2 linked regions of the Caenorhabditis elegans genome follow. The protein of the gene in region 1 interacts with the protein of each later gene in a pairwise test. Each region holds a gene or a part of one and is shown on either strand. Other genes may lie near its edges.

Region 1 (4,911 bases):
GGAGCGCATCCTTTTGAACTTAGCAAACAATTGTAGCGGCGCAAAAATCACATAATCTCGCGTATTTATAATAAACATTTAAACGAGAATTCACTGTCATCATTTCAGCTTTGGAGCAAGATATGGCCGTTGAGCATACGCCGGAACACGTACGTATCACGGATTCTCAAGCAGTTGGACGACTTTCCACGTTTATTTTACCAGCAATTCCGACTGAAACTCGTCTTCGATTGATTCTCATTTTTATGTTGACTATCGGAAAGGATAAAGATGAACAATACTTCAATCGACTTCTACATCACACCGATATTCCTGAATCGGAATTTCAGATTATTAAGAGAATGCTCATTTGGAGAGATGTCAGAGTCTTTTTTAAAATTGTATTCATCTTCTTTTTTCAGAAAACTCAGAAATCTCAATTCCAACATCGCCGACCACCACCAGAAGACGAGAGGTTTATCGCGAGTCGTTGGGATCCGAAAATCAAAAATCTTATCGAAGAAATTTACGAAAGACGATTGGACGAGCGGGAGTTCAAAGTAGCTGGTAAGAAATCGACGTCTGACTTCCGGCCGGCAGCAAGTGCGAGATATGGAAGTGGATTGGCTGGAAAACCACGCGAAAAACGAAAAATTATCATTTTTGTCGTAGGTGAGGTGATGTTTCGTTGATATATTCTGATTGGAAAGCATTTTCAGGCGGAATCACATATTCTGAAATGAGAGTCGCCTACGAGTTGTCGAAAAAGACGAACACAACAGTAATCCTGGGATCAGACGAAATTCTAACGCCGTCGTCTTTCCTGGAGTCGTTACGAGATCGAAATACTGTAAATTGCTGAAAATACTGTATTAATGTCCCCGAATATCGCTTTGTTTAAATAATATTCACAAAAAAATCTCGTTTTTCCATGTATATGATGCCATTTTCTATTTATCTCAAATAAACCACAGTTTCTATGAAAACAAAAACCTTCATTCGTAAATTATTAAGTCTCGTTACGTGGAAGTTGTAAAATCTATTTAAATTGCCTTTTCTATTGCCGAACAATTTTTCCGCGCGCCTGATTTTCTTTAAACCTCAAATAATCTTCCATTTCCTGATGTTGAAGTCGTGGAGCTGACATTGACCATTTCTAAAACAATAGAAATTTATCTTGAGACAAAATTGATTTTTTTTTAGCTCACCCGAATTTCCATAGCACCGGTATAGGCACAATACGCACCAGTTGTCACAAGCAAGAAAAGTCCAGAAGCGTAAGCATGAGCTCGAATTTTAGATGGAATTCTCATTTTTACGGATATTATGAGAGAAGGGAATCGAGGTTGCGTCAAAAATGTAGAATCGTTAAGAATTTACTCGGGTACGGTATGCAACGGTGTTTGCAGACTAGCAGGCTCATACACTTTCACGCGCAATTGCACACTTTAGGGTCATACGACTTATTTTCTCCATCAAATTTTCGTCAATTTTCGAATGTTTTAATATTTATTTGTGATTTTAATTCGTATATTCTGATAATTCTAAATTAAAAACTTATTTATACGGTCACATTAACTTATCGGCGAGATTAATGTTGCAGAAATTGGCGTTTCTTCCAGTTTAGGCCTAGAGTTAATTTTAAACAAATTTGCACAGTTTTTGTAGCGTTATTCTTTTATCATCTGTGTTAACAATTTCAGACGTTCATATGGAATTGTAAGGAATTTCAATCTCCGGAGAGGGGTCCTTCTGACACGGGGTATCTTGTTTTGTTCAATGTATTTCTTAATCCCTAACCTTTCACTTGTCATTTTCAAAACTTTACAACATATTTCAGAATCAAACAAGGGTTACACACAGTCGTCATTGCTCAAAATGACGTCGATGTATAATTTCAAGCGAATTACATGTGTTCCCAATGCACAGGTTTGTTCTTGTTCTGATCATTGAGAAGTTATATTTTTCAGGAACTGAAAGATGTGGTTCTCTCAAAAACGCAACGCAAAACACCAACCGTCGTGCATCGCCAATATTCGATTGGAAGAATCCGTGCTTTTTACGCAAGAAAAATCAAGTTCCTACAGCAAACTCTGCATGACAAGCTCACGCAAATCATCACAGAGTTCCCGAAAATGGAGGAAATTCATCCATTCTACTCGGATCTTATGAACATTCTCTACGACCGTGATCACTACAAAATCGCTCTTGGACAAATGAACACAGCTCGTCATTTGATTGACGGAATCGCCCGTGAATACGTTCGTTTGATGAAGTACGCCGACTCGCTTTATCGTTGCAAAATGCTCAAAAGAGCCGCACTTGGACGTATGGTCAAGCTGCTAAAGCGACAAAAGTCCAGCTTTGAATACCTCGAGCAGGTCCGTCAGCATTTGTCTCGCCTTCCAAGTATCGATCCAGCTACTCGTACTCTCATTCTTTGCGGATTCCCAAATGTCGGAAAGTCTTCATTCATCAACAATGTGACACGTGCTGATGTTGAAGTTCAGCCATATGCTTTCACTACAAAGGCTCTTTATGTTGGACATCTTGACTATCGTTTCCTCAGATGGCAGGTAAGTATTAAGCGAATTTCTTTTGAACCTTGATAATAATTCACTTTTCAGGTTATCGATACCCCCGGAATCTTGGATCAGCCACTTGAGGACCGTAACACCATTGAAATGCAAGCAGTTACCGCATTGGCTCATCTGAAAGCATCAGTGCTCTTCATGATGGATGTTTCAGAACAATGTGATCGTAGTATTGAGGAACAACTTCATCTCTTCGAATCGATCCGTCCATTGTTCGCCAATAAACCAGTTCTTATTGGTTTGAACAAGGTTGACATCAGACATCGATCTGATTTGCCACCAGAGAAAGCTGCATTGTTGGATCAACTGGAGAAGGAAGGAATTCCAATTATTGAGACATCTACACTTACACAAGAAGGAGTTATGGGACTCAGAGATCGTGCTTGCGATGAACTTTTGGCCCAGCGTGTTGAAGCTAAAATTCAAGCCAAGAAGATCACAAATGTCGAGGATTGTGTGCTGAATCGCGTATTCGTCGCCTACCCGGCTCCACGTGACGAGAAAGTTCGTGCTCCATTTGTTCCACCAGGTTTGGCCGCAAAAAGAGCTCAGAAGAAATTGCAAGAAGCTCAAGAGCTCATGGAGACTGATGGAGATGAGTTCGCAGCAAAAATTCCACAAAAACCAGGCAAAATTGGAAAGGAAAAGATTGCAAAGGGTGGATCCCAATCCACCGATCTTGGAGATCTTCGTGATGAGAACACCCGTCGTTTGGAGAGAGAAATTGAGTTGGAAATGCAAGATGATTATATTCTGGATCTTAAGAAACATTATATGCTGAAGAATCCTGATGAGAAGTACGATATTGTTCCCGAAATCTGGGAAGGACACAATCTTGCTGACTTTGTTGACCCGGAAATCCAGTCAAAGCTTGAGAATCTGCTTCGCGAAGAGGAGCTCTTGGAGCAAGCCGGAGAGTATGAATCAGATTTGGATAGTGATGATGAGGAGACCAAGGAGAAGTTGAAGCTTGCATTGCAAATCCGAGAAAAAGAAAAACTGTTGACTTTGGATCATGCCGTTAACAAGAGAATTGCCGGAAGAATTGGTTCACGTATTCATGGTTCAAGAAAGAGAGATCGATCAATGTCTAGATTAGAGAATGAGCTCGGAGAGTTAGGTGTAGATGTTGACACGAAGAAAATGAAGAACTTGCAAGGACAATGTGCCAAACCACAACTTGGAAAGAAGGTTTGTGTAGAACCGAAATCTATAATTTCGGTTTCAAATTAACATAATTTTTCCAGATGAAAGTGGGTCGCTCGCGCAGTCTCAGCGCCGTCCGTCCGGCTCCACGTGATGAGTTGGCATTCCCAGACGAGGAAAAACGTGCACATGTCGACAAGTTGCGTACGAAAGCAATGCGTGGATTGCGCCGAGAAGCCAAGAAGGGAGAAGCCGATCGTCACGTATACGACCTCAAGCCAAAGCATTTGTTCTGTGGAAAACGTGGAAACGGAAAAACCGATTGGCGTTAAGAACATATATATCTTTTGTTCATTTTTTTTTTGTTATTTTTGTTTTGTTATTCTGTTCGTTTTTTTTCGTCTCCCTGCTTTTTATTCCTTCCAAAAACTGTATACCCATCCATCCATTTTTACCTTCTTCTCACTGCGTCAATCGGCTTCTCGCCCACATGAGTTTCCCGAATAAAATTCTTCCTGATATTTTTGTAGATTCTGAATTATTTTTTTTCTTCGATATTGCACATTTTTTAGCATTCCGTTGAATTTTTCGCTGTATTAGAAAAACTATTTTTTAATTAACTCTTCAGATGGGCAAAAAAAGAAAGATTACGGATGAAAAGGATGCTCAACACGTGCCAGCTGAGAAACGAGAGGTTAATATCACATTTTCAAAGAAACGTAGTTCTCAAACACAAATTAATTGCAGAAAGTAGAAAATTGGTTAAAGAAATCTACGGAAAAACCAACAAGTTCACAATCTGACGCTGAAAAGAAAAAGAAACGTCCATGGCGTAATAAGGTCCGTAAACTTGCCGCAAAAAAGGCAGCAGCTGACAAGAAATCTGAAAATCCAGAAGAACCTCCGCTGATTCTCGAACCAAAGAGTTCTTCGGATGAAAATACGAAAAAGAAGAGAAAACGGGGCCCAAAAAAGAAGAAGTTCAAGCCCGAAGTTGCTGGAAAAGCTGCTGAAACTGAAAATGATGACGTGGCAGCAGCTCCAGAAGAAGCAGATCCAATTGCAGAGGCTAAAAAGAGACTTGACGCGGGACGATTCAGATTTCTGAACGAAAAACTCTATACATGTACTGGTTCTGAAGCATTTGATTTCTTCAAGGAGGATCCGACGGCTTTTGATCTATATCACAAGG
Region 2 (5,672 bases), on another chromosome or scaffold:
AATAGTTTTAAAAAAAGAATTTTCTTTAATTTCAAAAACAAATTATACTTTCGAAAACTTGTTTTTGTATCGGAAAAATTCTAAATTTTTGTATAATTTATCAGTACATTTTTAATTTTTAATCAACTTTTCGTAGAGTCGGAACTTTTTTTCTAGTAGTTTTCAGGATTTGCGATTTTAAAATTAAAATTATTTGAAGGTTGTCTAACATGACCAAACATCAGTAAAAACACTACAAAAAATATAGATTTTTGAAAGATTCCAGTCAGTTTTCGTAAATTGCCAAATTTTTAAAAAATGTGTACCTTTTGGGAAATTTCCACAATTAATAAAAAAAACAATTAAAATATAAAAATTGAAGAAAAATATGCAATTTGTTCCAATTATTTCAGTGCATTAAGAAATTCCAAAAAAATTTTTTAAAAGCTTTTACTGTAATTTTTGGTCATTTTAAAAACACATGCCAATACTCTTTAAAATTTTTTTAAAAAAATAATTTCCGGTCGCATGTTCCGACCCCTACAATGTTTTAATACAAACAAATAAAACAAAATTAAAGTATGAAAATGTAGGGCAAAAAATTTATTTTGATCGATTTCCAAAATTATGAGTTTTTGCCTATTGAGTAATTGTCATTTTTTGCCAGTAAATAAAAAATTTTCAAAAAGTTTTTGAAACGTTTTATCTTAATATTCGGCTATTTTGGCACCAAGTCAGTAGTTTTAACACTTTCCCTACTGGCGCTACTCCACCTATAATAATTTCAGCCCTATCCACATCTCTAACCCATCCTCCATTCCACCTGTTGTTGCTCACAGTGGGGGTCACCTCCTCCTTTTAGCACCTTCCAAAATTTTCCAACTCCTTGCCAGCCACCACTTTGCCCTCCCCTATTTGCACACTCTTCTCTCCTCCCCCTTTCCATCTCCCCCAGCTCATTCATATATATGTACATAACTTCAGTAGTTGTTGGTTGGAGGTGGTAGAGTCAAAACATATCTCCTCTTTCTAGGCTCTTCTTATGCAACCTGACACCCCTTGAATTCCATTCGTGTTCCGTTTGAGACCCCTATGCTTGCACAACTAGGTTACATACCCCAGCACGTAACAAAATTCTCGTATCCTGAGCCTTATTTATTTCTCATTTTCATAAATTTGTATATTCTTTTTTCAGATTTCATCCCAGATCTAAATATAGAGAATTTAGCTAAAAACATATCTAATTTGATAAAGACCTTTCCGATATATCTTGGTTGGATATATTTTTCGAGTGCCTGCAAACACTCTCTCCACATATCCTCCACTATTTCCCGCAAAAAAATCGTTTCCCCTTACTGGTTTTTTGATGCTTTTGATGCTCTGTATGATGAAAAAGTGCTCTTTGGGTATCTCTCTCTCTCTTATATTTTTGATACCGATCCGATAGCTGATCACTGGATGTTAGGTCAAAGCTCTTGTGTGTATTGTGTCATGATAGTAGTAGTACTCGGTAAATAGTGATAAGCGATCACAGTTTTGCTACGTGGATATTGATTTTTTTGTGTTTTAACGGATCATTTTCTCTAAGAACTCCCGTAACTTGACACCGATCCTCCCTCCTCAGGAGGAAGCGCATCCTTTGTACTTTTCCTGTCTTCTTATTCTCCTCCACCTTCAGCTACTTAAATCTCAAATTTCATTTATCTTTTTTTTTGTTTTTCTTTTTGTTCTTTCCTTTTTCTTTATACCTTTTCTAATATCTTTAACTTCAAAATTAACATTTTATTTCTAGATATGCTACTCCGGATCAGCGTGCTGTTCCTATTGCTTGGCTCCTGTGGGGCTCTTTTTGGAAAACGTCAAAAATGTGAGCAAATCACAATTCCTCTATGCAAAGGTATTGGCTACAATATGACATCGTTCCCGAATAGTTATGGACATGAAAAACAGGAAGAAGCCGGATTGGAAGTTCATCAATTTTATCCGCTGGTGGAGGTGAGTTTTTTAAACAATTTTCTATGAGGAAATATTTTTTGCAATAATGAAAAAAACAAAAATTGAATATTGCACCACAAATTGAGAAATTTTGAATTTCGCGCTAAAAATTCGAAAGACACCAAATTTAGAATTTGCGCTAAATTGAAAAAAAAATTAACTTGGCGCTAAAATTTTCGAAAAAAAAATCCGAATATGAATTTCGCGCTGAAAATTTAAATTTTTCAGAATGAGTTTTGCGCCAAATTTTTGAAAAAACTCAACCCTAAATTTTAAATAAAATTGAAATTTTTATATCACACCAAAAATTTAAAAAAATCTGAATTTGAAATTTCCGCCAAAAATTTAAAAATTAAAATTTTAATTTGGCGCTAAAATTTAAACAAGATTATAAATTTAAATTTGTTATATACTAAAAAAATGTGAACCTTAATTTAGTGCCAAAGTTGTTGAAAAAAAATTAGATTTAAATTTTGAGCTAAATTAAATAAAATCCAAATTTAAATTTCGCGCTCAAAATTTGCAAAAACGCAAAATTGAATTAGGCTCTAAATTACGACAAATTCACAATTTTTTTCGCAAAAATCAAGAAAAAAGTAAATTTGAAAAACTTACCTTCTTCCAAAAATCAAAAAAAAATTTATATTTCCAGGTCGGTTGTTTCCAACATCTCAAATTCTTCCTCTGCACAATGTACACCCCGATCTGCCAGGAAAACTACGACAAACCAATTCTCCCGTGCATGGAACTTTGTGTGGAGGCACGCAGCAAGTGCAGTCCAATAATGGCCAAGTACGGATTCAGATGGCCCGAGACACTGTCTTGCGAGGCGCTGCCAAAGATGTCGGATCAGATGTCGACTGGGAACATCTGTGCAGCTCCACCAGATACACCAAAGAAGCAGCACAAGGGGCATCATCATAAGAATCAGAACCAGAATCAAAATCAAAATCATAACTATAGTCCAGATGGCCCAGAAGTCGGAATTTCCAAGATCGACAATGAAGTAATAGCCGGTCCCAGCGAGTGTCAGTGCACTTGTAACCAACCGTTCCAGTTTGTGGCATCTGAAAAGTCCAAAGTTGGAAATGTAACAAATTGCGCCTACTCATGCCATTCCCCAGCGTTGGCCGAGAGTCATAGCCTGGTGAGCAACTGGATGGCGTTCTGGAGCATCACATGCTGCGTGCTAGCCTCCTTCACATTCCTCACATTCCTTATCGAGACCGATCGATTCCAATACCCCGAACGTCCGATCTTCATGTTGGCATTCTGTCAGCTCATGGTTGCCGTCGGATTCATGATTCGATATTTCGTGGGCCACGAGGAGATCGCATGCGACTCGATGAGGATTAAGGGGGCTGATGATAACTCTGGATCCTTGTGCTTCGTCGTTTTCCTGCTCACCTATTTCTTCGGAATGGCTGCCTCGGTTTGGTGGGTGATCCTTTCGCTAACCTGGGTGCTGTCGGCCGCTTCAAAGTGGTCCCCCGAAGCGATTTCCTCGTTCTCATTCCATTTCCACGTGGTCGGATGGTGCCTTCCCGCTATTCAAACTGTATTGGTAATAGTTTTTAATGCGATCGATGGTGATCCGATAACTGGAATCTGCTACGTGGGAAATACTGATCTACAATTCCAACGAATCTTTGTGCTTTTCCCATTGCTCGTATATTTCATCGTTGGAGTTTTGTTCTTGGTAATCGGATTCTGCAATTTGTGGAGTATCAGAAACGAAGTACAAAAGCAACATCCTTCACTGGAGAGTGCCCATAAAATCACGCAGTTGATGAGCAAAATCGGGATTTTCTCATTGCTCTACACAATTCCATCGTTATTGATTATCTGTGTTCTATTCTACGAGCAGAATCATCGATCATTATGGGAGCAATCGCAGTTGTGCTCATGCTCGCCAAAGCAAACTATCGGTGAGTTTTTTTTTAAACTATAACAATTTTTGATCTAAATTTCCCAGTAAACATTTTTTTCACATTAAAAAATTTCAGTTGCTCGCTAAAATTGTTTTTAGAAAATTAAAAAACGAGTTTTCTAAAAATTTTCCCAAAAATTTGTTTAATTCCACCAAACATTTTTTCTCAAAAATTCAAATTTTCCGCAAACATTTTTTTAAAAATTTGATTTTACCGCCAATATTTTATTTCGAAAAAATTGAATTTACCGCCAAAAATATTCTCTGAAATTTAGAATTTCATGATAAAAATTATTCAAAAAGTTTAATTTTTCCGCAAAATTTTGCCTCAAAAATTGTGAATTTCTTTCCACATTTCCTTTTCAAAAATTCGAACTTCCAGCTAAAATTTTTCTCAGAAAAAAATTTAAATTTACTGTCAAAAAGTTTCTCAGAAAATTTGAATTTCCGCCAAATTTTTTTCCTCAAAAAATGTTAAATTAGTGTCAATAATTTTTTTTCAAAAATTTTAAATTTCTCGCCAAATTTTTTTTCTGAAATTTGAACCCCCCCCCCCCCCCCTATTATTCTTCATAAATTTTAAATTTTCAGGCGACTCCTCACTGATCATCTCCCTTATCAAAACTTGCTGTATGTGCATTTTGGGATGGACGTCCGGATTTTGGGTGTGCAGCACCAAAACTCTATCGTCGTGGAAAAATGCTATTTGCTGTTTGGGTAAGTTGAATCTAGCTTGAGTTTAAACAAGTTTTATTAATTTAATAATTTTAGGTTCCTCCCGATCTTTACCCAAATACCAACCGGCAGACATACTTTACGCTAAATCTGACATGTCATCCTCACAATTCTACAACACAAGTCTCCGACACAACCATCTTTACGGAGGCATTCCTGACAAGCTGTAGTGCTCAAGAAATGCATATTTAATATTTGTGATCCCCGCACATCTACCTCTTCAGGACCAACTTTCCACAATACTTGTAGTCGTTAAAATTAGTTTTTTCTCATGAGCTTTTACCTCTTCTTTCTCACCATCATCATCCCATTGATCTCAAGTTCCCGGCATTCTTTCTCAGTTTTTTTAAAAGAAAAGTTTTTGCAAATAATTTTAATATCACAAATTTAATAACTAAAAACAATGTTTTTGTAATCTTATTAGAGTGTTGTTTTTTGAATACTGCCTGTTCCTCTTGTCGAGCTTTCGGAATGTACATACCTAATAAATATTATTTTAATTGATGATTTTTTTGTTGAAAACATTTACGGTATATTAGAAGATTATTTCATGAATATTGTCAGTCAAGACACTTGTGTTCGATTGAAATTCACTTTAAATGGCAGAAAAACGACCGTCATGACCGAATAAACTGTTAAAAAGTTTTTAACATTTTTTTTGAATTTTGCCTATATCAAAATGTGGCCAAACTGAATTTAAATTCCCACGCAAATGAGTGACGTCATTTTTTATATTTTCGCGTTTTCTGGCTAAAATCATGATTTTTCTGGATTTTTTGTTCTAAATTTAATACATGTTTGTAAATTTTCAGACACTTTTCCAAAGAAAAAACATACAAATCATTTACTATATATAAAGCGCGTGTCCTTCTGTCCCTATGTAGTTTGATCTTTGATCTTTGGTCTTTGAACTCTGTAGTCTGTAGTTGGAAGAGGTATTGGGTTGGAAGTTGGTGATGGATAATGTCAAGGTACTGTAGTGGTACTGTAGGAGTACTGTAGGTATACGGTAGGGTTACTGTAGTTTAGGAAA

Evidence for each region.
Region 2: the proteins of nog-1 (region 1) and cfz-2 interact in a two-hybrid assay, tested with the Caenorhabditis elegans proteins (one study listed by BioGRID).

The regions. Positions count from the first base shown.
Region 1 is NC_003282.8:392,198-397,108, forward strand, and holds nog-1 (Nucleolar GTP-binding protein 1), read left to right. Parts: upstream 1-1,682; 5' UTR 1,683-1,741; intron 1,742-1,819; 5' UTR 1,820-1,857; coding exon 1,858-1,908; intron 1,909-1,949; coding exon 1,950-2,555; intron 2,556-2,606; coding exon 2,607-3,764; intron 3,765-3,820; coding exon 3,821-4,051; 3' UTR 4,052-4,223; intron 4,224-4,347; downstream 4,348-4,911. Other genes in the region: uncp-18 (Syntaxin-binding protein 1), read left to right, coding at 109-359, 402-651, 699-841; T07A9.15 (Cytochrome c oxidase assembly protein COX14), read right to left, coding at 1,037-1,135, 1,188-1,292; rrp-8 (Ribosomal RNA-processing protein 8), read left to right, coding at 4,348-4,413, 4,467-4,911. UniProt on the Caenorhabditis elegans protein: Involved in the biogenesis of the 60S ribosomal subunit. Has a role in regulating longevity, growth and brood size. May regulate fat storage via the insulin/IGF pathway.
Region 2 is NC_003283.11:3,440,977-3,446,648, reverse strand, and holds cfz-2 (Frizzled-2), read left to right. Parts: upstream 1-1,771; 5' UTR 1,772-1,773; coding exon 1,774-1,974; intron 1,975-2,626; coding exon 2,627-3,902; intron 3,903-4,495; coding exon 4,496-4,621; intron 4,622-4,675; coding exon 4,676-4,809; 3' UTR 4,810-5,145; downstream 5,146-5,672. UniProt on the Caenorhabditis elegans protein: Receptor for Wnt proteins.